Sus scrofa: one gene and its partners. The protein of the gene in region 7 purifies or fractionates together with the protein of the main gene of each other region. This does not show direct contact. Links are inferred from orthologs where the notes say so. Each region holds a gene or a part of one and is shown on either strand. Other genes may lie near its edges.

Region 1 (3,823 bases), on a different chromosome or scaffold from region 7:
AGTTCCAGGGGCCAGGGATCAAACTCGAGCCACAGCAGCGACACCACATCCTTAACCCACTGAGCTGCCAGGGAACTCCTGTCTCTCTATTTTACATATGGTAGCGTGTTTCTCTTAGTCCCAGCCCCCCAACTTATCCCTCCCCCACCTACTCTTCGTCTCTGCACAAGGAGGGACAGCCAGCAATTTCACCAAGGGTTCCACCTCGTTTAAGGTGATCAGACTGGCGTTCCCACCGCGGAGCAACAGGGTCGTGGCATCTCCGCAGCACCAGGACGCAGGCCGGACCCCTGGCCCAGCAGTGTGGGTTAAAGGATCTGGAGCTGCTGCAGCTTCAGGGTAGGTCACACCTGTGGCTCAGCTCTGATCCCTGGCCCGGGAACTTCCATAGGCCGCAGCGCAGACAAAAAAGAAAGAAAGAAAAAAAAAAAAGGATAATATTACTGCGCCTGAGCCCAGGCAAGAGCAGAGGGGACGCGTGTGTGAGAGCATCCCGGAAACAACGGGTAGGCGCAGGACCTGAAAGGCAAAGGGCCTTCTCACCACAGCTGTTCCAACAGGAGGCATATCTTCTCTGGAAGGATGAACCCGGTGACGGTGCACAAGGAAGCTCTGGCCACCACTGTGCTTGGCTGAGGACAGCAATAGCTTGATAGGAAACTGTCAGGCTCGTTATTTCTGTAACCAAAGAAAGAACCAAAGAAAAGATGCTGAGATCCACCACCACACACCTGAAAGCACTACACCCCTATTACAAACAAGAAGCCAGCCCAAGCCCTCCAAGACCCAGGGGCCCTGGTACCCACAGCTCCGCGTGGCTGAAGACGGCGCCCAGCCAGTCAAAGAGCTCCAGGGCGCTGCAGGCCGTGTCCGGCTGGCCCCCCAGCTCGCTGCTCCGCAGCACCGGGCACTGCAGATCTGCCACCGAGCTCACTGCTATTTTTGGCCGATGCTCCTGAATTCGGTAACTGGAAAAGTACGACATCAGCGTTGATTCTTCTGCACCTTCAAACACACCAAATAAGGCCACTTGAATCGTGTAAACGAGCTTGGAGAATCCCTGAGTCCACCCCTCCCACCGGGGGGCTTCCGGAAGCAGGTAGGATGCAGTACGACCGAAGCAGGTGGTGCGAAGCCTTGTTCAAATTAGAACCATTTCGGTTCCTTTCAGCTCCTTGTGTCAAAGCTCGGTAAACACCCACCTTCTGTCACACTTTTCCTGGAAAATCATAACCCTTTCAGAGTCAACGCATACCAGTCTCATCACACATGCTTGTTTACTAAGAAACTTTTCACTTAGTAAAAAAAAACCCAAAGCATGACTTAGGTTTCAATAAAATTAGTGAACTCCATAGAGAAAGGAGCACATTTTCACACTCTATGCAAAAGGAAAGAGAGAGGAACCCAGTAACAGAGTCTCAGTCCAACTCGTCTTTAAAACCCAGGAGGAGGGAGTTCCCGTCGTGGCACAGTGGTTAACGAATCCGACTAGGAACCATGAGGTTGCGGGTTCGATCCCTGCCCTTGCTCAGTGGGTTAACGATCCGGCGTTGCCGTGAGCTGTGGTGTAGGTCGCAGACGCGGCTCGGATCCTGCGTTGCTGTGGCTCTGGCGTAGGCCGGTGGCTACAGCTCTGATTAGACCCCTAGCCTGGGAACCTCCATATGCCACGGGAGCGGCCCAAGAAATAGCAAAAAAAATAAAAAAAAAATAAAATAAAATAAAAAATAAAACCCAGGAGGAGGGAGTTTCCACCGTGGCTCAGCAGTAACAACTGGACTAGGATCCATGAGGACACGGGTTCGATCCCTGGCCTCGCTCAGCAGATGAAGGATCCGGCACTGCCGTGAGCTGTGGTGTAGGTGGCAGATTCGGCTCGGATCTGGTGTGCTGTGGCTGTGGTGTAGGCCGGCAACTGCAGCTCCTATATGGCCCCTAGCCTGGGAACTTAAATATGCCACAGGTGTGGCCCTAAAAAGACAAAAAAAGAAAAAGGGAGAAAAAGAAAACCCAGGAGGAGAGCTCCCCGGTGGCCTCAAGGTTAAGGATCCACCATTGGCACTGCCGTGGTGTGGACTGGATCCCTAGCACAGGAACGTCTGCATGTTGTGGGCACGGCCAAAACTCATAAATAAACAAATAGGATAAAGTGTGTCCTGAAGGACTGGAAGAGGAAGGAGCAGCGCCCCGGAGCAGAGAGCAGGCTTCCTTACTGTGCAGCGTGTTAGAAACCCGCTCTCCCTCCCCACAGGGCAGAGGTCAGCAGGCTCACTGTCCTGGATCAGAGACCTGACCTCCTGAGCCTCCAGGTTCCCCTCTTATAACGCATCCTACCGCCTGAGCCGGCATCACCTGCCCACCACGCAGTCCCTGCAGGAAGCAGGACCTGGGGGTTGGGGCAGACGCAGAAGCTCTGGCCACCACTGCTCTGTCCTAGGGCTCAGCACCCACGAGATCATACGGCCTAACTTCAGAGCCTGCAAAGAGGGTGAAATCTCAGCTCTTCCACAGGTCCTGACAAGCCCTTAAAATACACAGGAGCCTGAGGAACGCAGAGCTCTCCAGAACCCGGTGTAAAGGAGGCCGTCCCTCATGAAGGCTTCCGGCCACCGAGAGGTCAGCCCTCTGCCCTCTGTCTGCACCACACCAGGAGCAGCACCACAGTTTGGAGGCCCTGCGGCTCCCACTGAGTACAGATTCCCTGGAGGTGCCGTCAGAGGGCCTCTCTCCAGGATGGAGCGATGGGCTCCCGTCTTCCCCCAGCGCACCGCCAAGATCTGGTTCATTGTAATCTTGGTTTGGAACAAATATATACTTTTTTTTTTGCTTTTTCGGGCTGCTGCCTCGGCATATGGAGGTTCCCGGGCTAGGGGTCAAGTCGGAGCCACAGCTGCCGGCCTACACCACAGCCACAGCAATGTGGATCCGAGCTGTGTCTGCGACCTACACCCCAGCTCATGGCAACACTGGACCTTGACCCCCTGAGCAAGGCCAGGGATTGACCCCACTGCCTCATGGATACTAGTTGACTCATGGATACTAGTCGGCTTCGTTACTGCTGAACCACAGTGGGAACGCCCTAAAGATGCGGGCGGATTAAATTATCTCGTGAACATCAAACTCTGAACTACATGTATTGTTCCAATCAGTTAAAAGTGACAACAAATTTAATCTGACATTGAATGCTGCGCCTGATTACTACCCTGCAAAAAGGAATTAGCAGTTTGCGTATATCACTGTAATTGGTGTTATTTTATCTTACTTTATTTATTTTTTTTTGTCTTTTTAGGGCCACACCTGCAGCATATGGAGGTTCCCAGGCTAGGGGTCAAATCGGAGCTACAGCTGCCAGCCTACACCATAGCTCACGGCAACCCCACTGAGTAAGGCCAGGGATTGAACCTGCGTCCTCATGGATGCTAGTCAGATTCGTTTCCACTGAGCCACGATGGAACTCCAAATTGGTGTTATTTTAAAACTCTCCAGCCGAGGCTGTTGGAGGGAAACTGGAGGAAGAAAGGAGAGAAACGGAAAATGGCGAGCTGCTCTGAGCCTCCGAGCTCTGGGTCGACACAGAAGCCGAGGAGATGGAGGCAGACGGATGCACGCCTAGATGGCCCTGGACGCAGCTCTCGGGAACGGCACCTTTCGTTAAGTCGAAACAGCGTAAAGCAAAAAAGGCCAATTACCTTAGGACACATCTTGCTAACAGATGCACAAAATAAATCGAGATGAGGCACAGACGCTCAGACACAGTTCAAAGCCCTGGTGGCTGGAGGCTGAGATGCTGTGTGGTTCTGGTGGGGCCACTCTTGCTGCTGGA
Region 2 (4,373 bases), on a different chromosome or scaffold from region 7:
CCGTTCCCCACCGGCGCCTCCTCGGAGCGCACCTTACGGAAGTTCTCCATGCGCCGTAGTTGCCGGGACCGCGGGGACGGTGGCTTCGCCATGGGGCCGCTTCAGCCCCAGGGCTGCATGGCGGCCGGTCGCGTCCGGCAAGGGCCAGCAGGGGTAAGGGTGCGGAAGCGGCGTGGATGCTAGTGGGCGGGCGGGGACCGTACAATCCTCGTCTCCCACTCCTCTCCACTGGGCGCTGCTCTACTCTGCGCTCTCGGCGCCCTGTGCTCCGCGCCTTTAGCTAAGGCCCCGCCTGGGAGCCTGGGAGCCCCGCCCCCACCGACAGGCCCCGCCCCCAACAGCCCTGCGGGCTCTTGTCCCAGCCTCACCCGCCTCCCGGATCCAGTCCGGTCCTCAGCTATAGGCGCGTGGGAGCGGCACGCACGATGGAGCGCAGTGGCAAAGCCAGGGAGTGACTTGTTAGGCGAAGTTTCCCTATAATCGCCATCAGCTCTCTCTGAGACAACCTTCATAAACGGGCAATCTAAATAAAAACTGCGTTTGAGGTAAACGCCGCCTTAGAACGGGTCCCTGAGTCCTTCTGCGTTTCAGAACTGAAGGCAGCCCCTTGTCCCCTACAAGGAGAGATTTCGAAGCGGCCTGCTGGGGGCTGAGGCTTCTTTCTTCCACTTCCCCCCAACCCCCCCACCCCCGCTGTGTCCCTCCGCTCTGGAGCGGGTATTCTCGCCTCAAGGACAGCCTGTGCACGGTCAGCAGAGTGCGAGAGGGGCTGGCTCCGGCTTCGCTCCGCGCCTGCCTTCGGATGATTACGTCGCGGTGTGGTCCTAAGACAGGTTTCAGCTTCGCCGCGCCTGACTGAAGCTGAAGCATCCTGGACCCCTTCCACCCCCACCCCCTGTGGTGTGGGGACTGAGACCGTGAGCTAGACTGTTCCCTGAGGTGAATGAGAAGAGACCAAGGAGACCTCTTCTCAAGGGAGAGTTAAGCTGCCTCCATTCATGCCTGAAAGTCGAGTATTAAAGCTGCATGCTTTAGGGTAAGCCAGGTATTTTTCTTTGCTAACGTGGATCCCCTCCAGCACCCCACCCCCTTCTTCCCAGGTGGAATTCGTTATTAGTCAGCCTGGCTTCCTTTACAAAAAGGAGACTGGGTGAAAGTATGTTTTGAGGGAAAAGGGAAGTAGGTGGGAAGTTGAAACCTCGGGGCACTATGAAGCTACAGGGTGTCCCTTCCCAGGACCTCTGCAGAACAGAGGGAGTGGCCGGGGATCTCCTGCCAGGAGAGATGAACAGCGAAGGGAGAAGCGAGGTTGGGATTGAAGCGCTGCTGATGGGAGGGAGGGAGTTTGAGAAGAAATTGGACCCTCCCTCGATCTGCCCTAGGGTCTCCTTCTTCATCCTTCCACCCCCTTGCCCACGCACAGAACTGAAGAGTGGGCCAGACCAGATCTGGGCCAGGGTGACTACGTGGGGCGTGGCAAGGAGGAGCACAGAGTTGTGGCCGGTGGGAAACCCTTAAAGTGCTGGGAGCATGACAATGCTTGGGGGAGCCGGGTCGGTTTTGAGATGGAGCTGCCGGGTCCCCCACCCTCTCCTCGCTGCCATTTTTGCATCCTCAGCATCCTGTATCTCCTAGATCTGCCCTGTTGTTTGAAACCCAGGGATGACCCATTACCGCGCCGTGGGAGTGACTGCAGGAGGCGAACCTTTGAGCCCCACCGTACGAATGACCAACGCCCTTCTCGGATCTATTGCTCGCCCTCTGGGATCAGGGGCCCTCGAGGTCGCGTTCTGCTCCAAACCTGTACTTCCACCCCGCCCCAGCTCCCAGAGGCCCCTCTAGGAACAGCCCTAGGAGTCGGAGACACAGTAGTCTGAAGAAGACACAACAGTCTGCAGCGCGTGGCAGGGCGCAGGGAACCTCAGGCCCTGTAAGACTAGGGCAGTTGTGGGACTTAAAGAGCATCAGTTTCGTTAGGCCTGAGAAAAAGTCCCAAAATGGCTGGAATCTATGTTCGAACGGGCTGATAAGCGCAGAAGCGAGCTCTCCACCCACGGGAGTATGCGAGCCAAGGCTGAACGTTCACTTTGAAGGGATCACGCAGGGGTCTACGATTCGGAGGCAGGGGCCAGGAGTTTACGTCGGGTGAGGATAAGACCGTTCTGCGTTTGCCTTTGCTCTGAGCTGGCGCTAGAAAGCGCCGCCCCGCGGTCCCCCTCCACTGGCGCCAGCTGTAGAAGACTCGATTCACTTCGTTCCGCAGTCAGTGAAGGGAGACCGGGGAAAAAGGCCCGCGCCCCCTCCCGCCGCTCCCCTCCTTTTCCCAGCTCCCTCTGCAGCACTTAAAATGTAAATGTACATCGTGATTAGCCGCCGGGTCGCTAATTACCGCTGAAGCCATTCATTACTCTGACAGCGTGCGTTGCAGCCCGCCGGCTGTGCGCTCCTGTGGGGCCGCGGAGTGGCAGGACCGGGTGCGGAGCGAAGAGGGGGAGGAGATCGCGGGCAGGGGAGCGGAAAGATTCGAGTGGGGGGGCAGCGAATGAGTGGAGCGACGCTGGCAGGCCAGAAGCTAGGGCGGGAGAGGGGACAAAATGCTGGACGGTGACGTGCGGGGGCCGGGAGAGGCGAGGTTTGCCCAGGGCTGTTAGGAAAGAAGGCGAAGGAGCCGTAGCAAGGATAGCAGAGAAAGGGGGCGCTATGAGCGAGAAAACCGAGACGAGGAGCGAGGCGACGGCAGGATACTCTGGGGTCGGCTGGGAAGGGAGTAGAGGGCTCAGCTCTGGGAAGGTGGATAAATAAATTTGAGCATCTGTGGTGCACACTCTGCGACAGTTAGAAACATGGAAAAACAGTCAAGACTTTCTGTTGAATGAACTGGGTACCAGCTATCCACACAGTAGGACAAGTATTTTTTAAGCTAGGGAGTGAGGAATCTATTTCTGTGTGCACGTTTATAGATGTAAATGTATTTTTAAAATAACTGCAAGAAAACAGCACACTTCATCTGTTACCTCTGAAGCTGCATTTTGTTGGCCTCTCTAAGGAAAGAACTACTAAGTATGAATATAAAATTAAGCCCAGAGTTTTGAAATAGCCTTTGTTAAGTGAGGTCCTGACCTTGCGCCTGAGGTTCATTAACTTCTTTTCACCTCTGTGATTTGGGCATTTTTTTTTTTTTTTCTATTTTGGCCTCCCCTCGGCATATGGAGTTCCCTGGGACCAGGGATCAGGTCCTAGTGGCAATTGCGACCTTCTCCAGTGCTGCAGCAACAACGCTGGATCCTTTTATCCATTGCGTGGGGGGGAGGGGCAGGGCAGAAATCGAACCCGCAACCTGGTGCTTTGTGCCAGACCCTGTACTATGCGCTCACCTGTACTAACTCATTTCATACAACAATGAAACCACTACCCATTTCGTAAGTCAGGTAGAGCCAGATCCAGAGTCTGTCTGGCTCCAGAGTCTGTTCTGTTCTTTTTTTTTTCTTTTTTTCCCTCCCCCTCAACCTCCCTCTCTGGCAACCACCAATCTCTTCTCTGTATCTACAAGTTAAGTTCTGTTGTTGTTTTTAGATTCCACATATAAGTGAGATCATACATTATTTATCTTTATTTCACTTAACATCATGTATGTATACATACATAACACACAATAGAATATTATACATACACACACACCACATCTTCTTTATTCTTTTATATGTCAATGGACACTTAGGTTGCTGTCATGTTTTAGCTATTATAAATAATTCTGCAGTGAACATAGGGAGGCATATGTCTTTTAGAATTAATGCTTTCATTTTCTTTAGAAAATACCCAGGGTATGGGAGTTCCCGTCGCAGTGCAGCGGTTAACGAATCCGACCAGGACCCATGAGGTTGCGGGTTCGATCCCTGGCCTTGCTCAGTGGGTTAAGGATCCAGCGTTGCCGTGAGCTGTGGTGTAGGTCGCAGACATGGCTCGGATCCCTCGTTGCTATGGCTCTGGCATAGGCCGGTGGCTACAGCTCCGATTAGACCCCTAGCCTGGGAACCTCCATATGCCGTGGGAGCGGCTCAAGAAAAAGGCAAAAAGACAAAAAAAAAAAAAAAAAAAAAAGAAAGAAAGAAAATACCCAGGGTAGAATTGCTGGATCATACGGTAATTCTATTTTTAATTTTTTTTCTTCTGTCATTTTAGGGCTGCGCCCACAGCATATGGAAGTTCCCAGGCTAGGGGTTGAATTGGAGCTACAGCTGCCGGCCTACACCACAGCCACAGCAACGCAGGATCTGAGCTGCATCTGCAACCCATACCACAGCTCACGGCAATGCTGAATCCTTAACCCACTGATTGAGGTCAGGGATCGAACCCACAATCTCCTGGTTCCTAGT
Region 3 (4,382 bases), on a different chromosome or scaffold from region 7:
TTCCATATGCCGCAGATGCAGAACTTAACAAAAAAAAAAAAAAAAAAAAAAAAAAAAAAAAAAGGAGTTCCTGTTGTGCGTCAACTAATATCCATGAGGACGTGGGTTTGATCCTTGGCCCTGCTCAGCGAGTTAAGGATCCGGCACTGCCATGAGCTGCAGCAAAGGTGGCAGACGCAGCTTGGACCTGGCGTTGCTATGGTTGTGGTATAGGCTGGCAGCTTCAGCTCTGATCCATCCCCTAGCCTGAGAACTTCCATACGCCGTCGGTGCTGCCCTAAAAAAAAAAAAAAAAAAAGGGTAAAATAAAAAAATAAACAAAAAATAAAAAAAGACAGTGTACAAAGAGTGAACTTAACAAATATGCTCATCTGCAGCTTCTATATTACAAATATACACACAAATAATTATAAATGCTAGTTATTATTAACTTCAGAAATTGTATTTTACCTGTTTCTTTTCCTTAAATTCAACAACATGATTGATGGCAACAACTGAATAGCCCACTGAAAAGAAAAATTGAACATTCTTATTAAATACAATAACCTCTCTTCCCTGTACACATAGGCTCATCCCAATTCATATCAAGACTAGAAGATAGTTAGAAGAATGGTTATGGGACAGGCTCTGGAGTCAGACTGCCAGTTTTCAAATCTTAAGTTACTTTAAGTTTCAGCTTCTTCATCTATCATATGGTGTTAATAACAGAATTTACCCCATATAACTGTCATGAGAACTAAATGAGATAACACACATAGCATGTTTAAAAATGGTGGCTGGCACAGAGTTAGGGTTTTGTTTGACCTGGGTGATGTATTATTAGCAAGACACAGAAGACCCTTAACTTTGTGCATCTCCTTTCAACCATCATTCTCTTTCAGGCCTTTTTTCATTTTCATCCCATCAAATTATATTTTTTCACTGTTATCTTCATTCTTACTCATTTTGTTTGCTCTTTACCCCTTCTGCTTTTTCAGAGGCCCCTGTGCTAAGGAGAAATGGAATAAGGACTCCCTTACATGCCACTGTCCCCATCCCCTTTTGAGTTGCCCACCAACAAGAGATTGGGAACTCTCTGAAGTCAGAGCCTAGTTTATCAGCCTCAACACAGCACTGTTTTTGGACATATGGACTACCAAAAATACATCTAAATCATGACTTAAAACGTTGAGTTAAACACCAATGGGGAGGACAGGATATTAATATTAAAGAAATAATGCATATCGGAGTTCCTGTTGTGGCTCAGCAGTAATGAACCTGACTAGTATCCAAAAAGCTGCAGGTCTGATCCCTAGCCTCATTTAGTGGATTAAGAATCCAGTGTTGCCACGAGCTGTGGTGTAGGTTCAAGCCTCCACCAGGATTCCATGTTGCTGTGGCATAGGTGGGCAGCTGCAGCTTCAACCCCTAACCAGGGAACTTCCATACCCTAAGGGTACGGCCCTAAAAGGACTAAATAAATAAATAACATATATTAATGCCAAGATAGTGGTCTTCCCTCTCAATAGTTTTTCCAATTTCCTTCTTTCTTTCCTCCTTCAAATGAGGATCCATTACTTGATAGGCCCTGCAGATATCTCTCTCTCTCTCTCTTTTTTTTTTTTTTTGCTTTTTAGGGCCGTACCTGTGGCATATGGAAGTTCGCAGGCTAGGGGTCGAATCAGAGCTATAGCTGCCAGCCTACACCACAGCCACAGCAACACGGACTTCAAGCCGCATCTGTACACCGACGCTCACCCCAACGACGGATCCTTAACCCGCTGACAGAAGCCAGGGGTAGAACCCACATCTTCATGGATACGAGTTAGGTTGTTACCGCTGAACCACAACCGGGAACTTCGAAGAAATGTCTTTATTTTTAAACCCCTCTATCTCCACTTAGACACTTTAAGTCTAAGGAAGAAGGCAGAAGTCGCGATTAACTTCGATTAGAACGATCTTACCTCTCAGGGCTTCTGCTTTCCTTGGATTCAAATACGAGTAACATTCTAGCATTCTGGCCATGCTGGTCCCTTCCCAACCTCTTGGTGTGTCCTACGCCTCAACCTACCCTCCCTCTAAATAACATTATTCCAACACTCGCAGCCCCACGTCCCACCACCCCCGCCCATTTTCGGAGCACCCAAAGCACTCCCCATCTGTGCACCAACCAGCTTTCCGCATTTGACTGAGTCAGTACACAGTGGTGAGAGGTAGGAAGGGGCGATATTAAAAGCACAGGTGGAGACTAGCTTTGGCCAGCCTTCAGCTGTGAGGCCCTATATAAGTCCCTGGCCCTGTTAGGACCTCAGTTCCCCAATTCACAATAAAGAAGGAGCTGGACTGGGTAACAGTTCCCCAGCGCTTTTCGAGTTTCCCGGGCCCGGGATCACAGCAACCCCGCAGAAGGCATCAGCTTCCAGAGACTGCCTCCAGACCCCAGAAGACCTGAATGAGGCCCGGCCGCGTCCCTTCCGAACGTGGCCCGACGATCTGGATGGCAGCGAGGCTGGGCAGGCACCGCTGCTCGCGAAGCCGCGGCGACTCACGGTAAGCGGCGTTCTCCACGAGCCCACGCAGCGCCTTGAGGTCGGAACCCGCTCGCAGGTCCAAATCCACGAACACCGCCATGCTGAAATCACGTGAACTTGCGCGGCTGTCTGCGCAGCCGCAGGGCCCGCCCCCTCGGGGCACGCTGGGAATTGCAGTTTTCCTAAGCAGTCCTCCCGTCCCTCCCGCGGACTGACGTTCCCAGGCTCTTTGAGCGCCTTCGGATCCCAGCAGAAGTTAGTGTGTGGAAGTCAGCAGCCTCACTTCAGTTCTTCTTCCTCTGGATGGGAAAGTTTTGTTTCCCTCGAAGGGGTTCACATAGCCCACCATTCCTCCTGTGAAATAATGTAGAAAATGATTCTTTCAAAATGTACGTATACAGCATTTATTGAGGACTTACAGGGAAAGAAGGTCTGGAAACCCTTAAAAAGTAAGGGTTTTAAATCCGTTTTTCTTTCCCGCCCCTAAAGGTCATTCCATTGTTTAAATTGGACTTAATGGGGAGATGGGGAAACTGACCTGACAACTCGAAAAAGGTTTGCTCGAGAAAAAAGTCATTTTGCTCAATCAGAACAGACGGTGGCACAGCATGCTAAACTCCATTACAGCCAGTATTCTCAACCTGGAGTTGGCAGGGATAAGCGGTTAGCTTCAGCACGTGTTTAGCCAAAAATGGGTTAGACAAGGGAGGTGCACAATTGAAATGTTTTACAGTTTTCCGTCTGACAGATGTACAAGGTGGAATATATCCCACAGTTGTGATGGTTCCACATTTTCGTACACATGAACTCTTGAAGAGTGATAAATTAATTATCCGAGAACATAAAACTCTGGAACTAGAGTTTACATCACTGCTTTACAAAGTACCCGTGATTACTGGGTCAGTTCACCGAGTTCCCAACCCCCCTCCCTCCACCAGTTCTTCTAGCACCAGTAGTGATCCATTGTCCTTTACCCACAGGCAGCTCTGGCCTCAAAAGATTAATCTAACATCTGAACTGCTCTATACTAGACTGAATAAGAGTCCACAAATCAGGGGCTTGGATCTCCAGACTATGCCAAAGGGATGTGAAAGTTTGTAAACATTTTCCGTTTCTTTGCTAACTTGTCACAGACAGTACACAGAGTCTCGGGTTTGTGGGCCACATCTTGATTTGTTCTTTACATGACTTCTTTCTTGGTCTCAGAAGGGAATTTTAAGAGGGATCTGTTCCATGTGGTAGTATGTAATTCTCCTTTTGGTTAAGTTCAATAAAAAAGAAATCTTCTGCTATCTAATATTTGATGTTTTCTAAGTAAGAACAGAAGAAAATTTTACTTCTGCAAATAGAAGAAAGTCATATAAAACAAACTCTGGCTTCTCATCTGAAAATCTCGTGTTAATTTTGCAGGAAGATCTAGTGTTAATTTTATAGGCGTCTTCATCTGCAGCCACAAAACCTAAATTGTTTGGAAATATGTCCGATGTGTGGTGAAGGTGAATAAGATGACTCATTATTTGATACCAGAATTAGACTACAGAGGGCTTCTTTCTTTGAAAGTCATGACGCTGTTTCTGTGGACTGTATACCCTTTAAACTTCTTATCTTCACCCTGGGCTTAGAAGGGAGGAAGAAGGACGAAAAAGAAAATGAATGAACGACAGTCACTGAGCAGTCTACTGAGGGCCAGCCTATTTGCTAAGTAGTTGCCTGCATGTTTAATTTTCAAAACAACTGAGTTAAGTGCTGCTTTTTCCACAACCTCTGCATTTTACATTTGAATCATCTGAGGCTTAGGTCATTGTGGTAGGACCACAGGTGGATCCAGGTGGCTTGGATCTATTCTCATGTCTCTATGTACTGTCTCCTGGA
Region 4 (4,579 bases), on a different chromosome or scaffold from region 7:
TGTGAAGACAGATTAAACAGCAAAGGTCTTAAAGGAATTCCTGGAATGGGCACTCAAGCCATTCCCAATAGATCTGGAACTTGGAAGAGCTCAGTACATGCTGTTCCCCCTGAAGAGAACCCCTATCCTGGGTTCCTCACCCACCTCACTCCACTCTGGATAGCTCCTACTCATCCTTCAAATTCCAGCTTAAAGTTCACCTCTTCTAGGAACATCACTTCTTCGGAGAGCCCTTCTCTGACACCTTGCTGTAAGTTAGGCTCCCTTGGTATGTCATCTCTTAACATTGTCTTTGTTTAATATGTGGTTCCCCCAACTAAAGGGACAGGAAATTGAAGCCTATCCAAGGAAAGGAACTTTTCCAAGGTCACATAGCTGTAGACCAGCATTCACAAAAACCTCTCCGGTCCCAGTTCCAACCACTCCCAGAAGACAACCTCAAGAGAAAATGAGAAGTCAAGGTCAAAGCCACTACATCCAACCACCTATTCAACAAATATGAGTATTTCCTGAGTCTGGCACAGAGTATTCAACAAACACTTATTGAATACATGACTGATTAAATGGTGGTAGCATTCAAGGGTGTCTCATTTCTCTTTTCTTTTTCCATCGCGCCCACAGCACATGTAGTTCCTGGGCCAGGGATCAAATCTGAGATGCAGCTACAGCAATGCTGGATCCTTGACCTACTTTGCCACAGTGGGAACTCTTGTTTCAGGACTGCAGTAGTTCACGGTGCTCCCTTCTCAATCACTACAATCTCCCCTGACTGGAAGGGCAGGGAGGACAGTATCCTCAATCATTTCATTCATTGCCTGGCACACAATAGGTGTTTATTAAACATTACTGATTGCCTTAGTGGAGGTGGCTGCCTGAGGTAGAGTGAGATTGGGCCTGGGGCTTAGGATGCCAATAACAAAGAAGACTTAAGGAGTATTCTGGAAATGGATAGTGGTTATAGTTGTACAACTATGTGACTATACTTCTTGCCAATGAAGTGTATATTTAGAAATAGTAAATTTTTCATTATGTTTATTTTATATTAAAAAAAAAACTGTAGGAGCAAGTGTTTATTGAGCAGTCACCTCTGACAGGCCTGGGTCTCAGAGTGACAGCACCGCCCTCTGCAGGTTGTCCTGAAACTAAAGGAGATGATGCCTGGGAAGCCCTCCCTACAGCCCAGTATATTCATTCACCAGGCTCACTGGGAAAATGTGAACACTTCTAAGTGGCTGTCATTATCATCATCTCTGAAGCCGGCCTTTTTGATGGCTGCAAGGATGCTCATTACCTTATCTATTAGCAGTAGATGTCCCTGCTTCCCTCCCTAATCTAACCGGGTGACCCTATTAAAACCTTAATAAGCCCCTTTCCTCAAGGCTTGAAGCCTTGAGTAAAGCCAAAGTCTTTACATCTAAGGTCCAACCTGATCTGTACCATTGCTTCCTCCCATCCCTCTGACCTCCTGTCCTACCACTCTCCTCTGCTCAGTCTCTTCTACCACACAGGCCTCCTAGCTCTTTCCCTCCCAGCTTTTCCATTCGCTGAAAATACTCTTCCTCCAGACAGCCACATGGTTCATTCCCTTGCCTCCTCCATAGCTTTACTCAATTTCACCCCTCAATGTGTTCCAGTGGCATTTCTATCTAATGTCACCCCCCCACGCCACTGCTCTATTTTTTCCTCAGAGCATACACCACTCTGTAGGTATACAGAACATAACTATGAAATCCACTTATTTTTTGGAGGGGTGGGGTGCGTTGGCGGCGAGGGGTTAGTTCTGGGGTCGAACCACCCCATAGCAGTGACAACACCAGATCCTTAACCCGCTGAGCCACCAGGAAACTCTGAAATTCTTTAATTCTCGTCTGCACTCCGCCCTGCTCCTCCCCCCTCCCACCCCGGCCTTACCAGAATGTACAATCCAAAGAGAAACAGGCATCTTTCCCTTGTTTTCTGCTGTTTCCCAGGAGGCTAAAACAGTGCATCACATACAGTAGGCACTCAGTATGTAATTACAGGACATAAACGATATAAAAATTTTAAAAAGCTCGGTCCTCTACTGTTTGGAGATTAAATTGTTAAGCTATCAGCCACTTAGGCTGGTGTTTTGTTTTATTTTGCTTTTTAGAGTTGCACCTAAAGCATATGGAGGTTCCAGGTTAGGGATCGAATGGAAGCTAGGGCTGCCAGCCTTACACCACAGCCACAGGAACGCAGTATCCTTAACCCACTCACTGAGCGAGGCCAGGGACCGAACCAGCAACATAATGGTTACTAGTCGGATTCGTTTCCACGCTGCCACAACAGTGGAACTCGACACCTGAACTGTTTTAAACAATAAGTAAAGCAGGCTAACTTTTTTCGATGACCGTCGGCGTCGACTGGGCGCCCACCTGGGGCCGAGTGCATGCCCCCTGCACATGTGGTCCCGTTCAGTCCTCCCGCCGCCCTCTGCAAAAAAGACCACGTTGTACAAAAGCCCAAGGAGATTCTCAGCACCGCCTCGCCTTCGGCCTGGGGCGCTGAGCGACCTGAGCTGTATAGGTACCTCAGGCGTCTCCGCGCTGCCTGCCGTCGCTCCCGCCTTGCGCGTGCCTTCCTGGCGCGCGCATCCACGCGTCACTAGCGCGGCCAACTAAGTCCACTGCCGGAAAACAGCCACGCTACTACGTACTTCCGTCTACCTGCTCTCCGAGAGATTAGCCTGACTCCTATTCACTGCAAGAATCCCTCAAGGCTTGGAACCTCTCGGCAAAGGCTGGAGCCTAAGCACGAACTAGAAAACTCCGGGGTCTTTACGTTTGGCTTCTGTCTGCCCCGACCCCGGATGCGTGACGGCTCGGGCGGATATGACGTCACAGCGCGGCGTTTTCCCGAAGGACCCGGGCGTGACTCGGGATCTGAAGCTCGCCAGGCTTAGCGCCCTCTCGTGCCCACTCAGCCTCTGGTGCGGCAAGCCGTGTGTGACTGAGGGCGTATTCAGACTGAGAGCTTTTTTCTTAGTCATTCATTTACTCAGGTATTCATTCGTTCAGAAAAATTGTATCTAGCATTTCTTCTGCTGAGCATCTCCTATGTAAAGTATTCCCCAAGGGCAAGACCCGTTCTCAGTGTCTCTTTTGGCTCATAGCACATAGTTTTTCTGTCTGGATTGACATGAAAAGTCCCAGATAGCCCTATTTCCAAATCTAAGACAATAGTTTCATTTATTCGTTTATTAAATAAGTACTTACTGAGCCCGTATTATGTGCTAGATGTTGGAAACAAAAGATAGGGCACTTGTATTCATGAAATAAACAAAACCCCATACAGTGTGGATTAATAATAATAGTAGTATTAATAGCTAATATTAATCAAATGCTTACGTATGCCAGGCACTATTAGCCTTTCAAGCGGCAAGCAGTCGAACTTAGGTTCGGTGGTAACAGCCTCCTCCAGTTAGACATGTGTCTGTGTCTAGGTATGCACATACATACATAGACACATAAGTATAATGTCTAGATGGGTCCCAAGGGGACTGATGGAGGAAGGATTGGGCTGTGTGGAGGGTGTAAGAGATCCTCACATTGTTTCAGCATTCGTTTTTGTTTGATTTCTTTTAAAGTGATAGGGCATCATTTTTATAATACTGATAGTAAGTAAAATTTAGGCTCCCAAGAGGGAGTCTTGGACCATACCCTTCTGCATGCCTCTCCTTTCACATGGAAGAATAGACTTCCTTAAGATGTCACCTCCCACCCCCATCTGCCAAGGTTGGAGAGAGGAGGTAGAAAATGCAGACTCAGGAGTTCCCGTCGTGGCGCAGTGGTTAACGAATCCTACTAGGAACGATGAGGTTGCGGGTTCGGTCCCTGCCCTTGCTCAGTGGGTTAAGGATCCGGCGTTGCCGTGAGCTGTGGTGTAGGTTGCAGACACGGCTCGGATCCCGCCTTGCTGTGGCTCTGGCGTAGGCCGGTGGCTACAGCTCCGATTCAACCCCTAGCCTGGGAACCTCCATATGCCGCAGGAGCGGCCCAAGAAATAGCAACAACAACAACAACAAAAGACAAAAAGACAAAAAAAAAAAAAAAAAAAAGAAAATGCAGACTCACTGTCCCTTATCTGCAATTCTAAAATCGAAGAAAAATCTGAAGACTAAATCTTTCTTCATTAGGTGCAATGCTTAATCTGAACCTAGGTGAAACATTTTGTAGCTTCTGTCCCATTTGCTGTGGATATGCACATTGTATACATCAGAAATATGGATACATTTGCTCATGTAAAGCAGCCCCAGGCCCCACAGGGGTGGGGGCGGGGGGTTATACAACCTATGGTATACATACCATAACAGCCCTCTAAAATCTGAGAATTTCTGGAGTTCTTGCTCTAGCACCACAGATTAAGAATCTGGCATTTTCTCTGCAGTGGGGGTTTGAACCCTGGCCTGCTGCAGTGGGTTGAGGATCAGGTGTTGCCACAGCTACGGTACAAGTTGAGTCTGCAGTTTAGATTCAATCCATGGCCCAGGAACTTCCATATGCTCTAGGTGTGGCCAAAAAAAAAAAAAAAAAAGCTGAAAATTTCTTTTTTTTTTTAA
Region 5 (3,823 bases), on a different chromosome or scaffold from region 7:
GCAACCTGTAATACATGCACTAGTTACCACGCAGAAACTCAGGTGGCACGGCTTAGTGGTTCAACGTACAGGCCCTGGAACTGAACTTGCAGGATTCAAACCCTCCCTCTGCAATGTATTCACTAGAGAGGGGCACCTACTCTGCACCAGGCACTGTGCTAAGCCTGGGGGAGCAGGTTAAAGAAGAGACACCCCGTCTTTGCCATCACAAAGCTCAGAGTCTAATGGGACACGAACAGCACATAAATATGCAAACAAGAGGACGCATGTAATTTAACTGGGGTAGGGGGTGGTCAGGAAAGGATACTAGAGGAAAATGATATAGACACCGAAACTTAAAGAATGAGGAAGGCTTAACCAACAGTGTGGTTAGGTGGGAATATTCAGACAGGCTCTAAGGAAGACAAGAGCTGACACAGCCTAGAACCTGAAAGAAGGCCAGTGTGGCTCAAGGGCAGAAGGTGAGAACAGATAAGACCAGACAGGCACAGAGGCACAAGATTACCAGTCAAATTAAGGGCTCTGGACTTGATCTCAAAAATAATGAGAATGGGAGTTCCCGTTGTGGTGCAGTGGCTAACGAATCCAACTAGGAACCACGAGGCTGCGGGTTGGATCCCTGGCCTTGCTCAATGGGTTAAGGATCCAGCGTTGCCATGAGCTGTGGGGTAGGTTGCATTCGTTGCTAGGACCTGGAGTTGCTGTGGCTCTGGTGTAGGCCAGCGGCTACAGCTCAGATCAGACCCCTATCCTGGGAACCTCTATATGCCGAGGGAAACGGCCCTAGAAAAGGCAAAAAGGCAAAAATAAATAAATAAATAATGAGAATGGAGTGAAAGGGGTGAACAAAGAAGGAAAGAGTCGACACTGGTTGAGACCAGCGTAGAAACAACGGAGGAGGGAGAAGTGGCCTTTGTTTCTTAAAGGACGTTTTCTAAAAGCTTGAATTCTGTTCAGATCTCTCACCACATTCGACATGTCCAATCTGTGAGAGGCACAGGCACTGAGAGGTTAATTGCACTAATACAGGAAAACAAGCCAGATCTGAACCCCAGAGTGTCCAATTCCTAATCTAGTGTCTGCTCTCCAGACCTGCACTGCCAACAAGGCAGCCACTAGCCGCAGAGAGCTATTCAAATTTAACTATTAGTTAATTAAAATTTCATAAAGGTTCACATTCACCTCCTCAGTCATACTAGCCACTCAGTGGCTACATGTGGCTGGTGGCTCCCCTACTGAATGGCACTCTTGCAGAAAGTTCTACTGGACAGAGATGTACTTAACACATTGCTCCCACCTTTAGAGATCACTCTTAAAACCTGCACCAGAAAATATGCATCACACAAGTACAAACAAACAAAAAACTGGCATAAACTTTCAGGGATTTTAGGGGTTCCCTGTTACCCACCTATGGAGGAGACGTTAAGACCCTTCTATAAGACTCAGAAGCTGCAGGAGTAGTCTGTATTTAAATAAGAACAAGTCAGGAGTTTCCGTCATCGTTCAGGGGAAAGAATCTGACCAGCATCCATGAGGACGTAGGTTCAATACCTGGCCTCGATCAGTGGGATAAGGATCCGGCGTTGCCATGAGCTGTGGTGTAGGTGGAAGACACGGCTCAGATCCCGAGTTGCTGTGGCTGTGGTATAGCCCAGCAGCTATAGCTCCAACTGGACCCCTAGCCTGGGAACCTCCATATGCCACAGGTGTGGCCCTAAAAAGACAAAAAAAAAGAACAAGTCAGTTTAATATATTCACTTAGATTTTCTCTTCTAGGAGAAGTGAAAGATAAAAGTCTTTGGAATTCCCATCATGGCTCAGTGGTTAACGAATCCAACTAGGAACCATGAGGTTGCAGGTTTGACCCCTGGCCTTGCTCAGTGGATTAGGGATCCGGCGTTGCCATGAGCTGTGGTGTAGGTCGAAGATGCGGCTCGGATCCCACGTTGCTGTGGCTCTGGCGTAGGCCAGTGGCTACAGCTCTAATTGGACCCCTAGCCTGGGAACCTCCATATGCCACGGGAGCGGCCCTAGAAAAGGCAAAAAGACAAAAAAAAAAAAAAAAAAAAGTCTTTGATAATAAGTACAAGTAGGGAAACAAACATTTATAAGGCATAACCCAAAATGTTACCAAATTACATTAGGTTTCACAAATTTGCCAAGAAGGACCCAACTCAAATAAAACATCACAATCACATTTACTCTTACGGTGTGGACAGAAGCAGCTTTTAATGCCTCAGTTAGGATGGCATGGGAAAGTGGACCAATCAGCCGGAATCTGTTCATCTCCATTGTGAAATCACTGAAAGAAAGAGAAAGTCTTAAGACAGAAACTTCCAGGAGCCCCTTGGCAGTTCAGTGAGTTAAGGATCTGGCGTCACTGCTGTGGCACAGGTTCCATCCCTTGCTTGGGAACTTCCATGTGCTATGGGTATGGCCAAAAAAAAAAGAAAGAAACTTCCATCATATATAATGTCTGTTTCACCAGCAAAAATAGAGCACTCTGGGAAGGGAAGGATTGGGAGTTCGGGATTAGCAGAGCTAAGCTATTATATATAGTGTGGACAAACAAGGCCCTACTGTATAGCTCAAGGAACTCTTTTCAAAATCCTTATGGCAAACTGTAATGGAAAACAATATGAAAAAGTATATATATATATGTATATATATACATATATATACACACACACACCAATCCACTCTGTTGTATAGCAGAAATTAATACAACATTGTAAATCAACTATACTTCAATAAAATTTAAAAAAAAAAAGAGTACACCTTCACTGAAAATACTCAGAACCTAGTTCTGAGCAAATTCAGCCCATACCTGATCATAATGCCTGTGGTTGGAGACAGCCAAGAATATGGTTGAAGTGGGTCTCTAGTTCCATCACCAATGATTTTCTTAATTGGTTCAGCATTTTCTCCATCATCTTCCCATTTTCTCTTCCTACCAATTTTCTCCGTTTGGCCTTTTTCTTGGGACGGTGTCAGAAGGGAATCGGGGATGCAGACAGCTGACTTGGTGGGTTCCATACACTGGCACGCGGCTTTTATTTCCTCTAAGATATCCTAAAGATAGATTTAAACATTTTGCTTTTACACTCTGGAATTTAAATATATTACCGATTCAAGTTGGTTTCATTTTTGCTATTTTTTTCTACCTTCAACAATTTACATTTTAATTCAGCACAAATTAAACTAAATTTAGCAAGATCAAAAAGTTTTTTTTGATTCCTCTGAGTAGTGCTTGGCACTTGGAACCAAAAAAGAACGTAAATGTCAAAGATTAATGAAAACAACATGACTAATTATTCTAAAACTAGTTTAAAGAGGAAACTGGAGAAAATTTACAGTCTATTGTATAAAAGCAGTGACTACACTAAAAAAAAAAAAAAAAAAAAAAAAAAAAGGGAAGCCAAATGCAGTATTAGCAAGTCATGAGAATTACTCAAACCAGCTTCTCATCATCAAATAGGCTCTAACAAGCACCTGAATAGCAATGAACCCAGTCAGGCTGGTGGAAGCATTAGTCTCAATGCATTCCAAGCCCTTTGCATAATACGACTGGTTTTCATCACTACTTCTATTAGGGCTTAATAAAGGTTAGGTCAAGATTTTCTTTGGAGTTCCCACTGTGGCTCAGTGGGTTAAGAACCTGACATAGTGTCCATGAGGAATGCAGGTTCGATCCCTGGCCTCGCTCAGTAGGTTAAGGATTTGGCATTGCTGTGAGCTTCCATGCTGGTCACAGTTGTGGCTCAGATCCCACACTGCTGTGGCTGTGGCACAGGCTCGCAGCTGCAGCTGATTCGACCCCTAG
Region 6 (4,427 bases), on a different chromosome or scaffold from region 7:
CTTCCCTTTAGCATTTTAATCAGACGTGCATTTCTATTTGTCTTACATCTTAAAAGCTAAATTTGACACTATTTTTAATTTTATTTTTTAGATATTAAAATATTAGATTATTTTAAAAATGTCATGCCTATTTCATTTTTAAAAACCTTTTTAAAAACCTTCCACTCTGATTCAATGATTTCTCATCTTTTTATCCAATTTCTGAGAGCTTTAAAAACTTGTATTTGGTGGCATCACTTAGAATGTGATTTACACTCAACATTACTTCATCTTTGAAATGATACTTTTATCATTCTTGAATCACTGTGGCTTCATTGAAGGTTTGAGAGACACTCTGTAGGACTAAGTCATTACCCTGTAATTTGACAGTAGATGAAGTATCACCTTTTCATTACTTTGAAAAAAAAATGACCTTGCAATTGATTCTTACATTTAACATTTAAATATCAGTTCTGCCACCATTAAATTTAACTGCATTGACCACATAAGAAGCCAGAAAAATCACTGGGTCACAGGTTAATCTAATTCAATTTAAAGCCAACAAAGGATAACTATAATTAGTAATTTACCAATTCAAGGGCCAGAGTTGTTACATTCAAAACTGGTTGATTTGGGAGTAATTAGCCTTAAATTTTAAAACATTATTCTGGTTGCAGAAGCTCTTTCAGGAGCTTATTAATATTTTTAACAGACTGGATGATTCATGAAGTCTAAGCTATTACCTAACACAGCCAAAACTGTTGCACTTACTGTCTGAGTCTGTAAATTGATCTTATTTTACTTGACCTGCCTTAGGGTATAGGCTCACAGCCTTTTTTTTATCAGTGGTAGTATACATGCTAGTTAGTCCCCAACAAAGATTTTGAGTATTACATTAAAAAATAAAAACAAAACAAAAAAAAACACAAGATACAAACTTCTTGCCTTCCAAAGCCCAACACCTCCATCTCGTTTCTGATGAATAAGGAGACTGGCAGGGTACAAACAGAGCAGAGCCGAATTAGGACAGTCAGTGACATTTCAAGAAAAGAATTCTGCTGGACCATGAGGACTTGCTGCCCCAAACTGAGACTAATTTAGAACTGCCTGTTTGCAGTGCATCAGCATTATTTGTTACTATTCATTTTATGAAACAAAAGTTGTTACAAATTCGTTGTAAATTCATTCTTTTAAATCTGATTGTAATAAAAATTTAAAAATCACAGGCGTTTCACTCCTGGCGCAGCAGTTAACTGCCGGACTTGTGACGGCACCTCCCCATCCCCTATTTATCTTGATTTCCACGTTGCTAGGGATTCGGCAGGGACTCAGTGACAGAGGCACTGCGTCAGGGTTTTGCGACCCTCAGGTAAGTTAAAAACTAAAGCGAGAAGAGCTCAGATCCCCAGGCGCAGAAAGGAGGACACTGGAAGAGTGTTGCGTTACAAAGTAGAAAACCATCCTCTCGGAGTCTAATGGCGAAGGGACTGGCGCTCACATCCAGCCGCACACCCCGCAAGCGGCCGGTTACCAGGCAACCAGAGCTCTCGCGAGACACACCCTGCACCTGCGCACTGCCTCTGGATGGCCTTTTCCGGATCCTCACCCCAGCTCAAGGCAGTTTCTAGAGATCGAACCTTTCCCTTTTTCTAGCCTTTTTGAGAAATGGCGTTTGGGACTAGCCCGGCGCAGAAGGAAGAAGAGTGAGGTCCCCCGAGTGGTCCACATCACCCCAGCGCGTCGAAAGGCGGGGCCGGAGAAGGCGCAGGTTCTGCGCGCGCGCAGAGCGGCCCACGTGGAGCTGGCGCAGAGGCCACCGTGAGTGGGGCTCGGGCGGGGGTCTGACGTTCCGAGCGGCCGCCAGGGGAGGGATCCGTCCTGGGGCTTTGCCGGGTGCGCGCCGTCTCCCCCGCTCCCCGACTCTGAGGGCGCACGCACCCGGGACCACAGTGTTTTCCGGTGTCCTGGCTTTGGCCGCTAGTCTGCTCTCCGCCGGGAGCTGAGCACTGTTGGGTACGAGAAATAACGCCCACCCTGGTCCCTCTGTACTACTCAGTCTGGAAGTGGAGGCGGACAAGAAAATAATTCTAGTCTCGTGTGCTAAACCGTAAAGTCGGTAGGCACTAGAGAGGCAGCAGACATTAGGAGGGATCAACACTGGGAATTGGCCCTGTCATCCCCTCGGCTGCCGGACCCCGAAACTCGAGACCCCTCTCTTGAGTTCTTTCTCTGTTTTACTCCCAGTTGATCGCTAAGTCGGGCGGATTGCACCCCTTCTGTTCATCCCTCTGCGGCGTCTCTAGTGCCGCAGTCATTTCTTTACGGTTTGGTCCTTGGCAAAGGCCTCCTCCTGGTCCAAGTTCACACAGCTCTTTCCCTGAGGCCTTTCTAACTACATCGCTCATCTTGCTTTGAACGTTCCCACTGCCGCTTCCCGCTGCAAGGTTTGCAAGTCTTCCTCACCATCTCACCCGCTCTAGCATCTCTGCTCCGGCGATATTGACATTCTTTCTTTTAACGCAATTTCCTGGGATACCCTTTCTGATAGCCCTTTGGTAGGTATTCTTCAGATGCAGGTTAAAGGGACACTTCCTCCAGGAGGCCTTTCCTGACCTTCTCAACAGAGTCAGATCTCTGCTCTACATCTCGTAGTTTCCGTACCTTGATTTGCATCGCATGTTATTTTATTACTCGCTGATAAATCTTCCTCATAGGTTCTGAGCCCAGTGGATCCAGTGGCTGTTTTGCTTTCATTTGTAATCTTTCTGGCTTGCTGGCATTGTGGGAAATGCGCAGATACTTGCTCTAGTAAGAAATATGGTGTTGTTGGGGCTGATGGTAGGAGTAGTTTTCCAGGCAGAGGGAATATGTATAAAGCCCTGGAGGGAGGAACTGGTCATCTCTTGAAACAATATGTGGGGCATGAGGAGAAAGATGATGGGGGGATGCGCCAGAGTGTGGACTGACTTGGCTGTCACCTTAATGAGTTCACACTTGATGCTACAGGCCTGAGGCCTCCATTTTCTTTCAAATCCTGTTACTTCTTCCACTTTAGTTTTGGATTCTGTTCCATGAGACTCATCTGAACGGAACCCCTTGGTCCTTGTCTCCCTGTCTAGATTCTGAAGCCAGGAGGAGCTGATGCACAGAGCACGTACCTGTAAGTATTTCCTCCGTGTTGTCTGGATGCTGAGGCACGTGAACTGTGGTTTGCAGTCTGGCAGGACCTCTGTCAGATCATTGTATTCGTTCCTGAGTCATTTATTTCCCTCCTCTGACCACCTTCGGGTTGGCACTGGCCTCTGCCAATCCCGTCATGGGGCGTGACTGCACTGGAGGGGAGTGTGGGGATGATGGGTGGGGAGGGCTGCGCCCTGGGGCAGGGTGGAGGAAGCAGCTTCAGAGGCCCAAACCGCCTTTCTAGCCGTGGGCACCACTGATACCAACACCAAGGTCTGGGCTCTCTCCCCTAGGGAGCTGAATTTTGATTTTCTGTGAGAAGGTGACGTAGAAGGAACACCAAGGCCAGCAGAGGTCAGGGGACCATTTCTCAGGCTGCCCGGTGTGGAAAGGCCCCCGTCCTACACCGGCGTTCTCAAGCCCCATTCTCTATCAGATTCCCGGCAGCCTTTTTTCCAAGTACAGGTGCCGTGCCATGTCCTCAGGGATTCCGATTCAGTAGACCTTGAGAGGACCAGCCGTCCACATGTTTTACCAAAAAGTCACAGATTAGGGAGTTCCTGTTGTGGTTCAGCGGATTAAGAACTATGACTATTATCCATGAGGATGAGGGTTTGATCCCTGGCCTCCCTCAGTGGGTTAAGGATCCGGGGTTGCTGTGGGCTGTGGTGCAGGCTGGCAGCTGCAGCTCTGATTCACCCCCTAGCCTGGGCACTTTCATATGCTGTAGGTGCGGCCCTAAAAAGACAAAGAAAAAGTCACAGATTATTTCTGAGGTGCAGCCAGGATTGAGAGAGCATTAAAATTGGATTTGGGAAAACCAGGTGTGACTCGGGCAAGGTACTTACTTAACCTGAGCCCTTCTCCTCCTCCACACGCTAGGCAGTTAAACTGGTGCTTTGTGAGCATCTGATAATTCACAGAGAAATTGTTCACACATTCTGACTACCCCACGGAAATACCTGCCCTTCAGCAACAGCATCAGTGACTGGGCTTCTGGGTGGAAGTTTACTTGGAGGGGACTTAACTGCTAATCCTGCAGGGGGCGCTCTGCGGAGGGCGGGTGTCCATGGGATGAAAAGATCTACAATGAGGGCGTATCTGGAATGAGAAAATCTGGTTACCTGAGAACAGGGACGAACAGGGACACCACCCAGCTCCAGACTTCTCCAGAGCTGGCTAGTTGAACTTCCTTCAGTTTTGCAACATGGGTCCCTGTGGTTCCCAGCTGAGCCCAGGAAGGAAGTGAGGAAGAAAACAAGGGAAGA
Region 7 (4,566 bases):
GTGAAGGGAGCACAGTAACAAGGTCAAAAGACAGTGCCTGCCACAGCAGCTTCCAGGTGAGCGCAGCCCGGTGTCCCCTACACAGTGGGAGACGACACTGATCCTGAGTTCCAGTTAACCCAACTTGACTCTGGTAGCATGGAAAGGGAGACCCAGGGGAACAACAGACCCCGATTAAGCCTAACATGTCTGCTGGAAACGTGAGGAGTAAAACGTGGGAAAGGATGGCTAAAACAGCCCTACGGGTGGAGAAGCCACGGAGCCATGTCTGCCATCACCTCTGTTGCTCCCAGACCTCCTGCCAAGCACTGTACCTGAACATCGAACTCTTTCGCCTCTTTCTGAGAAAAGGCATTGTAGATCACACCTGGGGGATTTAAAACAAACAAACATGAAACAAACAATTCCGATCACTATGGCTTATAAGACCCAAGCCTTTTCTAATCATGAAAATAACCATGCTTATTCATGGAGAGAAGATACCAATGGTACAAAGAGCATAGCTTCAAAACTTTCCTGGACGCCTCCTGTCCTACTGTCCATCCATCCCAGAAGTTCCAAAGGTGTGCTTTAAAATAGTGCTTCTCAAACGTTAAGAACCTCTGTGATCTTGGAAGTTCCCGTTGTGGCTCAGTGTGTAACAAGCCCGACTAGAATCCATGAGGATGTGGGTTTGATCCCTGGCCTCGCTCAGTGGGTTAAGGACCTATGGTCTAGGTCACGGATGAGGTGTGGATCTGGCGTTGCTGTGGCTGTGGTGCAGGCCAGCAACTACAGCTCCAATTCCGCCCCTAGCCTAGGAACATCCATATGCCGCAGGTGCAGCCTTAAAAAGGGAAAAAAAAAAAAAAAAAAATCTCTGGGATCTTATTACAATGAAGAGTCTTGGGTGCCACTTTCAGATCCTGCATTTCTAACAAGTTCTCAGATGCTACTGCAGCTCAGCAGACCATATTTGGAGTTGCACTGGTTTAAAATTCCACAGGTTAGGAGCCCGAGCTCTAGAAGTCTAAAGATGTAACCCATTTAAAAGTTATGAGACAGGGATTTCCAGGATGAAGGAGGTCGGAACTACATTTTGTTAACATTTAGATATTTAAAAAAGACTTGTCACATTTTAATATCTATGAAATTGAGATGCATCATACAACTGATGGTGTCCTAACCTGATAAAATACAGATCTTCAAGCTCAAAATATATATTGCTCAGTGTGGTTTCAATCTTTAAAAACTCTTACGCTCCTGTTTCTTATTTATTTTTTTTTTTTTTGTCTTTTTGCCATTTTTGGGGCTGCTTCCGTGGCATATGGAGGTTCCCAGGCTAGGGATCGAATCGGAGCTGCAGCCACTGGCCTACACCACAGCCACAGCAATGCAGGATCCGAGCCGCGTCTGCAACCTACACCACAGCTCATGGCAACGCTGGATCCTTAACCCACTGAGCAAAGCCAGGGATGGAACCTGAAACCTCATGGTTCCTAGTCAGATTCGTTAACCACTGAGCCAAGGTGGGAACTCCCTCCTGGTTCTTAATTTGTCTGAAGAAGAAAACCACACACTGAGGACAGAATATGGGTGTGAACGGAATAAAAATGAGACAAAGACCTGGTTTAAGGGCCAAAAGATTAGAAAGTCTGGTTCATACTAGACTCTGTAAATTCTGCCCCAGCTCTCTTTGTGCTTCTCAGGTACATTGGACCAAGCAAGCCAAAGGGGTTACAAGTTTTATATACACAGTCTGGTTCTCCCTCCAATGGAAGATAGGGATTAAAACCTATCTGCAGGGCCTGGAACCCCCGGAATGACTTTGTGCTTGTCATAGGTTCCTAGCATTAGACGTGGAAGTCTTTTTTTTTTTTTTCCTTTCTGTAACAATAGATATCTAACAGTTAGTGACCCCTCATTACTTGCCATGCCCCTGATTTAAAGCTACATACATTTTATCTCATTACACTTTCTGAACAATCCTTTAAAGGAGCTATTATTCCTATTCTATACTAAGAAAACTGAAGTTCAGATACGCTGAGACACTGGATCACATACATAGGAAGTGAGAGAGGTGGCCCTCAAAATCCAGTTTTAAAGGTGTCACTCCCCTGCCTATAACTGTCCTGGGTGCTTGCTCCTCTCCTTGGCACACCTCTTCTCTGCTCAACTCCCAAAGCTTTGGTTTAGTGATATCGTTCCCCAGCACGCTCCCTGAGCTTTACACTAGGGAAGAGTCCCTCACATAACATCAGGCTGGGCAGGCACCTTCATCAGTACCTTACACAAAGGTAAACAGGGTTGCAGAGAGGAGCAGGGCCTTGACCAGGCCACCCAGGGAGGTACTGGCCAAGTTCGGCCAGGGCCTTGGGCCCTCCTCTAGCACCACACACGACTGGCAGCGCCCCCGAGATTAACCTGCTTCCAGCTCTGCCATCAATCCCTAGCTCAGAGACTGAGCCAGGCACACTGGGACTCCCGTGCCTTAGTTTTATTTATGTTAAGGAGGGATAATTCCCACAACAGTTCCACCAGCACCCACATCTAGTCTCCGACTCTTTACACCTCACTCCACCCCTCTCCAAAGTCGTGGCCCTCAACCTGGCTTACTCTTCATTCTCGGACCGCTTCCGGTGCGCTTTTCTGACGTCTCCTTCAGCGTCGCTCCCTCTTTACCTCCCTCTACTTTCTTCAGCAGCCTCGACTACCAAGCCTCTCGCCAAAGTTTGTGGCGGAGAGGTTTCCTGTGTCTGAAGTCGCGCGGTATGCTACATTGATACCAACACGCTCCTACTTTTAGCTGGAGTCGCTGCCCCAAACTCGAGGTTGGCGCCCCTGTGACGTCACCGACGCGCGCCGACCTAGGTTGGCGCATGCGCCTTGGGGCGGACTCCGCCGCACAAAGCGCCGTGGGGCTCTTTTCAGTTCGTGTGTTTTCTAGGCGAGGGAAGGCCAGAGGCAGTAGGGTTGGAGTTGGGGTGTGACATGCTTATGAAAGCCTGGAGTAGAGAGAGGCGGGTCGACTTGGAGAGGACTCGAGGGAGGTTGGGCCCCCGGGGTGGGTGGAAACGGGTTGGGGCGGGGCGGGGGGTGGTGATGGAGGAAATGAGTCTCTGCGGTCCCTGGTGAGTGCTCTCTACAGACCATCTGAGGCACTGAAGGATAGAAGGCTTAGGTTCTTATTCTGTCTGCTGTTAGCTAGGTGTGCAACCTCGCTTAAGGCACTTCCCATCTCTGGGCCTCACTTTTCCCCGTTCTGCTTAGTGGGGTTGGACTTGATGGTCTCAGAGTTTTCTAGAGGCTCGGCATATTAGTTTCCGTCAATAAGATGAAAGGCAAGGAGGAGTTCCTGCCGTTGGACAATGGGTTAAGAATCCGACTAGAGTGACCAGCGGTTAGATTCCCCCGGGCACCCCGGGCAGTGGGTTAAAGGATCCTTTGTTGCTACGGCTACGGCTCAGGTCTGAGCGCCTGGGATTCAATCCTTGCCCTGGAACAACTTCCTTATGCCGCGGGTCCGGCCTTAGGTTGAACAAAAAAAGTTAGAAGGCAAGGAGTTGATTCCCATTGCCCCGGGGTTGGGTTCAAGAAGTGTGTCAAGAAGGCCTGGGTGGAGGCCTCTTAGAAGCTACCTTAAGTTTTGCTGAGAGCTGGGCCTGGGTAGGGCCCTGCTCTGGAGAGAAAAGCAATACAGAGAGGTTCTGTGGTGGCTCAGTGGGTTAAGGATTTGGCCACTGTCACTGCTGTGGCTCTGGATACTGCTGTGGCACTAGTTTGATCCCTGGCCCAGGAAATTCCACGCATTCCACTGGCATGGCCAAAAAGAAAAAAAATAATGAAAAATAAAAGCAATATGGTCCATGTATTCTAAGCCAGTGGTTCTCAACTTTCAGTACAGTATAAACTCCTTTTAAAGGAAAAAAAAAAAAATTTCCCAGGGAATCCTGGGAGTATGTCCACACACCTGAGTTTGAGAAATATTTAAGTTTCTTTGGGTGGTGACCTTGTGTCATTTTGATCTTAAACATAAGACTACAGGCCCTGGAACTGAGCATTTACCTTCTATGTATATTACTATCAAAATGGAAACAGAGCATTAAAACTAAAATATGTCATATTTTCAGATGTCTGAGAATACTTAGGAGCCCACGGGATTAAATTTGAGAAATTGCTCTTGGGGTTCCATACTATGTAAACTACCAAATGTATATTTTATTTTTTTAATTTATTTTTTATTCTTTTTGTTTTTTTAGAGACGCACCCGCAGCATATGGAGGTTCCGAGGCTAGGGGTCGAATCGGAGCTGTAGCCACTGGCCTACACCACAGCTACAGCAATGTCAGATCTGAACCGCATCTGTGACCTACACCACAGCTCACGGCAACACCGTATCCTTAACCCACTGAGCGAGGCCAGGGATTGAACCTGCATCTCATGGAGGTCAGATTTGTTTCCGCTGAGCCATGAAGGGAACTCCTGAATGGGTATTTTAAAATAGCAGCACAAGGAGTTCCCATTGTGGCGCAGTGGTTAACTAATCCGACTAGGAACCATGAGGTTGTGGGTTCGATCCCTGCCCTT

What was found.
Region 1: the proteins of POP4 (region 7) and RPP40 purify together in Homo sapiens (affinity purification with mass spectrometry; 3 studies listed by BioGRID and IntAct, counting the BioPlex papers as one, with this or other methods). This does not show direct contact. The link is inferred for Sus scrofa from reciprocal best matches to the Homo sapiens genes POP4 and RPP40.
Region 2: the proteins of POP4 (region 7) and RPP25 purify together in Homo sapiens (affinity purification with mass spectrometry; 3 studies listed by BioGRID and IntAct, counting the BioPlex papers as one, with this or other methods). This does not show direct contact. The link is inferred for Sus scrofa from reciprocal best matches to the Homo sapiens genes POP4 and RPP25.
Region 3: the proteins of POP4 (region 7) and RPP30 purify together in Homo sapiens (affinity purification with mass spectrometry; 4 studies listed by BioGRID and IntAct, counting the BioPlex papers as one, with this or other methods). This does not show direct contact. The link is inferred for Sus scrofa from reciprocal best matches to the Homo sapiens genes POP4 and RPP30.
Region 4: the proteins of POP4 (region 7) and RPP14 purify together in Homo sapiens (affinity purification with mass spectrometry; 3 studies listed by BioGRID and IntAct, counting the BioPlex papers as one, with this or other methods). This does not show direct contact. The link is inferred for Sus scrofa from reciprocal best matches to the Homo sapiens genes POP4 and RPP14.
Region 5: the proteins of POP4 (region 7) and POP1 purify together in Homo sapiens (affinity purification with mass spectrometry; 5 studies listed by BioGRID and IntAct, counting the BioPlex papers as one, with this or other methods). This does not show direct contact. The link is inferred for Sus scrofa from reciprocal best matches to the Homo sapiens genes POP4 and POP1.
Region 6: the proteins of POP4 (region 7) and RPP38 purify together in Homo sapiens (affinity purification with mass spectrometry; 4 studies listed by BioGRID and IntAct, counting the BioPlex papers as one, with this or other methods). This does not show direct contact. The link is inferred for Sus scrofa from reciprocal best matches to the Homo sapiens genes POP4 and RPP38.

Annotation. Positions count from the first base shown.
Region 1 is NC_010449.5:2,995,277-2,999,099, forward strand, and holds part of RPP40 (ribonuclease P protein subunit p40), read right to left. Parts: intron 1,006-3,823; coding exon 807-1,005; intron 679-806; coding exon 544-678; intron 1-543. UniProt on the Homo sapiens protein: Component of ribonuclease P, a ribonucleoprotein complex that generates mature tRNA molecules by cleaving their 5'-ends. Also a component of the MRP ribonuclease complex, which cleaves pre-rRNA sequences.
Region 2 is NC_010449.5:58,604,486-58,608,858, reverse strand, and holds the start of RPP25 (ribonuclease P protein subunit p25), read right to left. Parts: upstream 3,010-4,373; 5' UTR 93-3,009; coding exon 1-92. UniProt on the Homo sapiens protein: Component of ribonuclease P, a ribonucleoprotein complex that generates mature tRNA molecules by cleaving their 5'-ends. Also a component of the MRP ribonuclease complex, which cleaves pre-rRNA sequences.
Region 3 is NC_010456.5:102,564,281-102,568,662, reverse strand, and holds the start of RPP30 (ribonuclease P protein subunit p30), read right to left. Parts: upstream 2,862-4,382; 5' UTR 2,611-2,861; coding exon 2,529-2,610; intron 507-2,528; coding exon 451-506; intron 1-450. UniProt on the Homo sapiens protein: Component of ribonuclease P, a ribonucleoprotein complex that generates mature tRNA molecules by cleaving their 5'-ends. Also a component of the MRP ribonuclease complex, which cleaves pre-rRNA sequences.
Region 4 is NC_010455.5:40,060,419-40,064,997, reverse strand, and holds the start of RPP14 (ribonuclease P protein subunit p14), read right to left. Parts: upstream 2,821-4,579; 5' UTR 2,552-2,820; intron 2,541-2,551; exon of another isoform or gene 2,360-2,540; intron 1-2,359. UniProt on the Homo sapiens protein: Component of ribonuclease P, a ribonucleoprotein complex that generates mature tRNA molecules by cleaving their 5'-ends.
Region 5 is NC_010446.5:38,625,168-38,628,990, forward strand, and holds part of POP1 (ribonucleases P/MRP protein subunit POP1), read right to left. Parts: intron 3,073-3,823; coding exon 2,828-3,072; intron 2,303-2,827; coding exon 2,209-2,302; intron 1-2,208. UniProt on the Homo sapiens protein: Component of ribonuclease P, a ribonucleoprotein complex that generates mature tRNA molecules by cleaving their 5'-ends. Also a component of the MRP ribonuclease complex, which cleaves pre-rRNA sequences.
Region 6 is NC_010452.4:46,723,078-46,727,504, reverse strand, and holds the start of RPP38 (ribonuclease P protein subunit p38), read left to right. Parts: upstream 1-1,542; 5' UTR 1,543-1,797; intron 1,798-3,034; 5' UTR 3,035-3,139; intron 3,140-4,427. UniProt on the Homo sapiens protein: Component of ribonuclease P, a ribonucleoprotein complex that generates mature tRNA molecules by cleaving their 5'-ends. Also a component of the MRP ribonuclease complex, which cleaves pre-rRNA sequences.
Region 7 is NC_010448.4:39,732,800-39,737,365, reverse strand, and holds the start of POP4 (ribonuclease P protein subunit p29), read right to left. Parts: upstream 2,844-4,566; 5' UTR 2,603-2,843; coding exon 2,596-2,602; intron 368-2,595; coding exon 315-367; intron 1-314. UniProt on the Homo sapiens protein: Component of ribonuclease P, a ribonucleoprotein complex that generates mature tRNA molecules by cleaving their 5'-ends.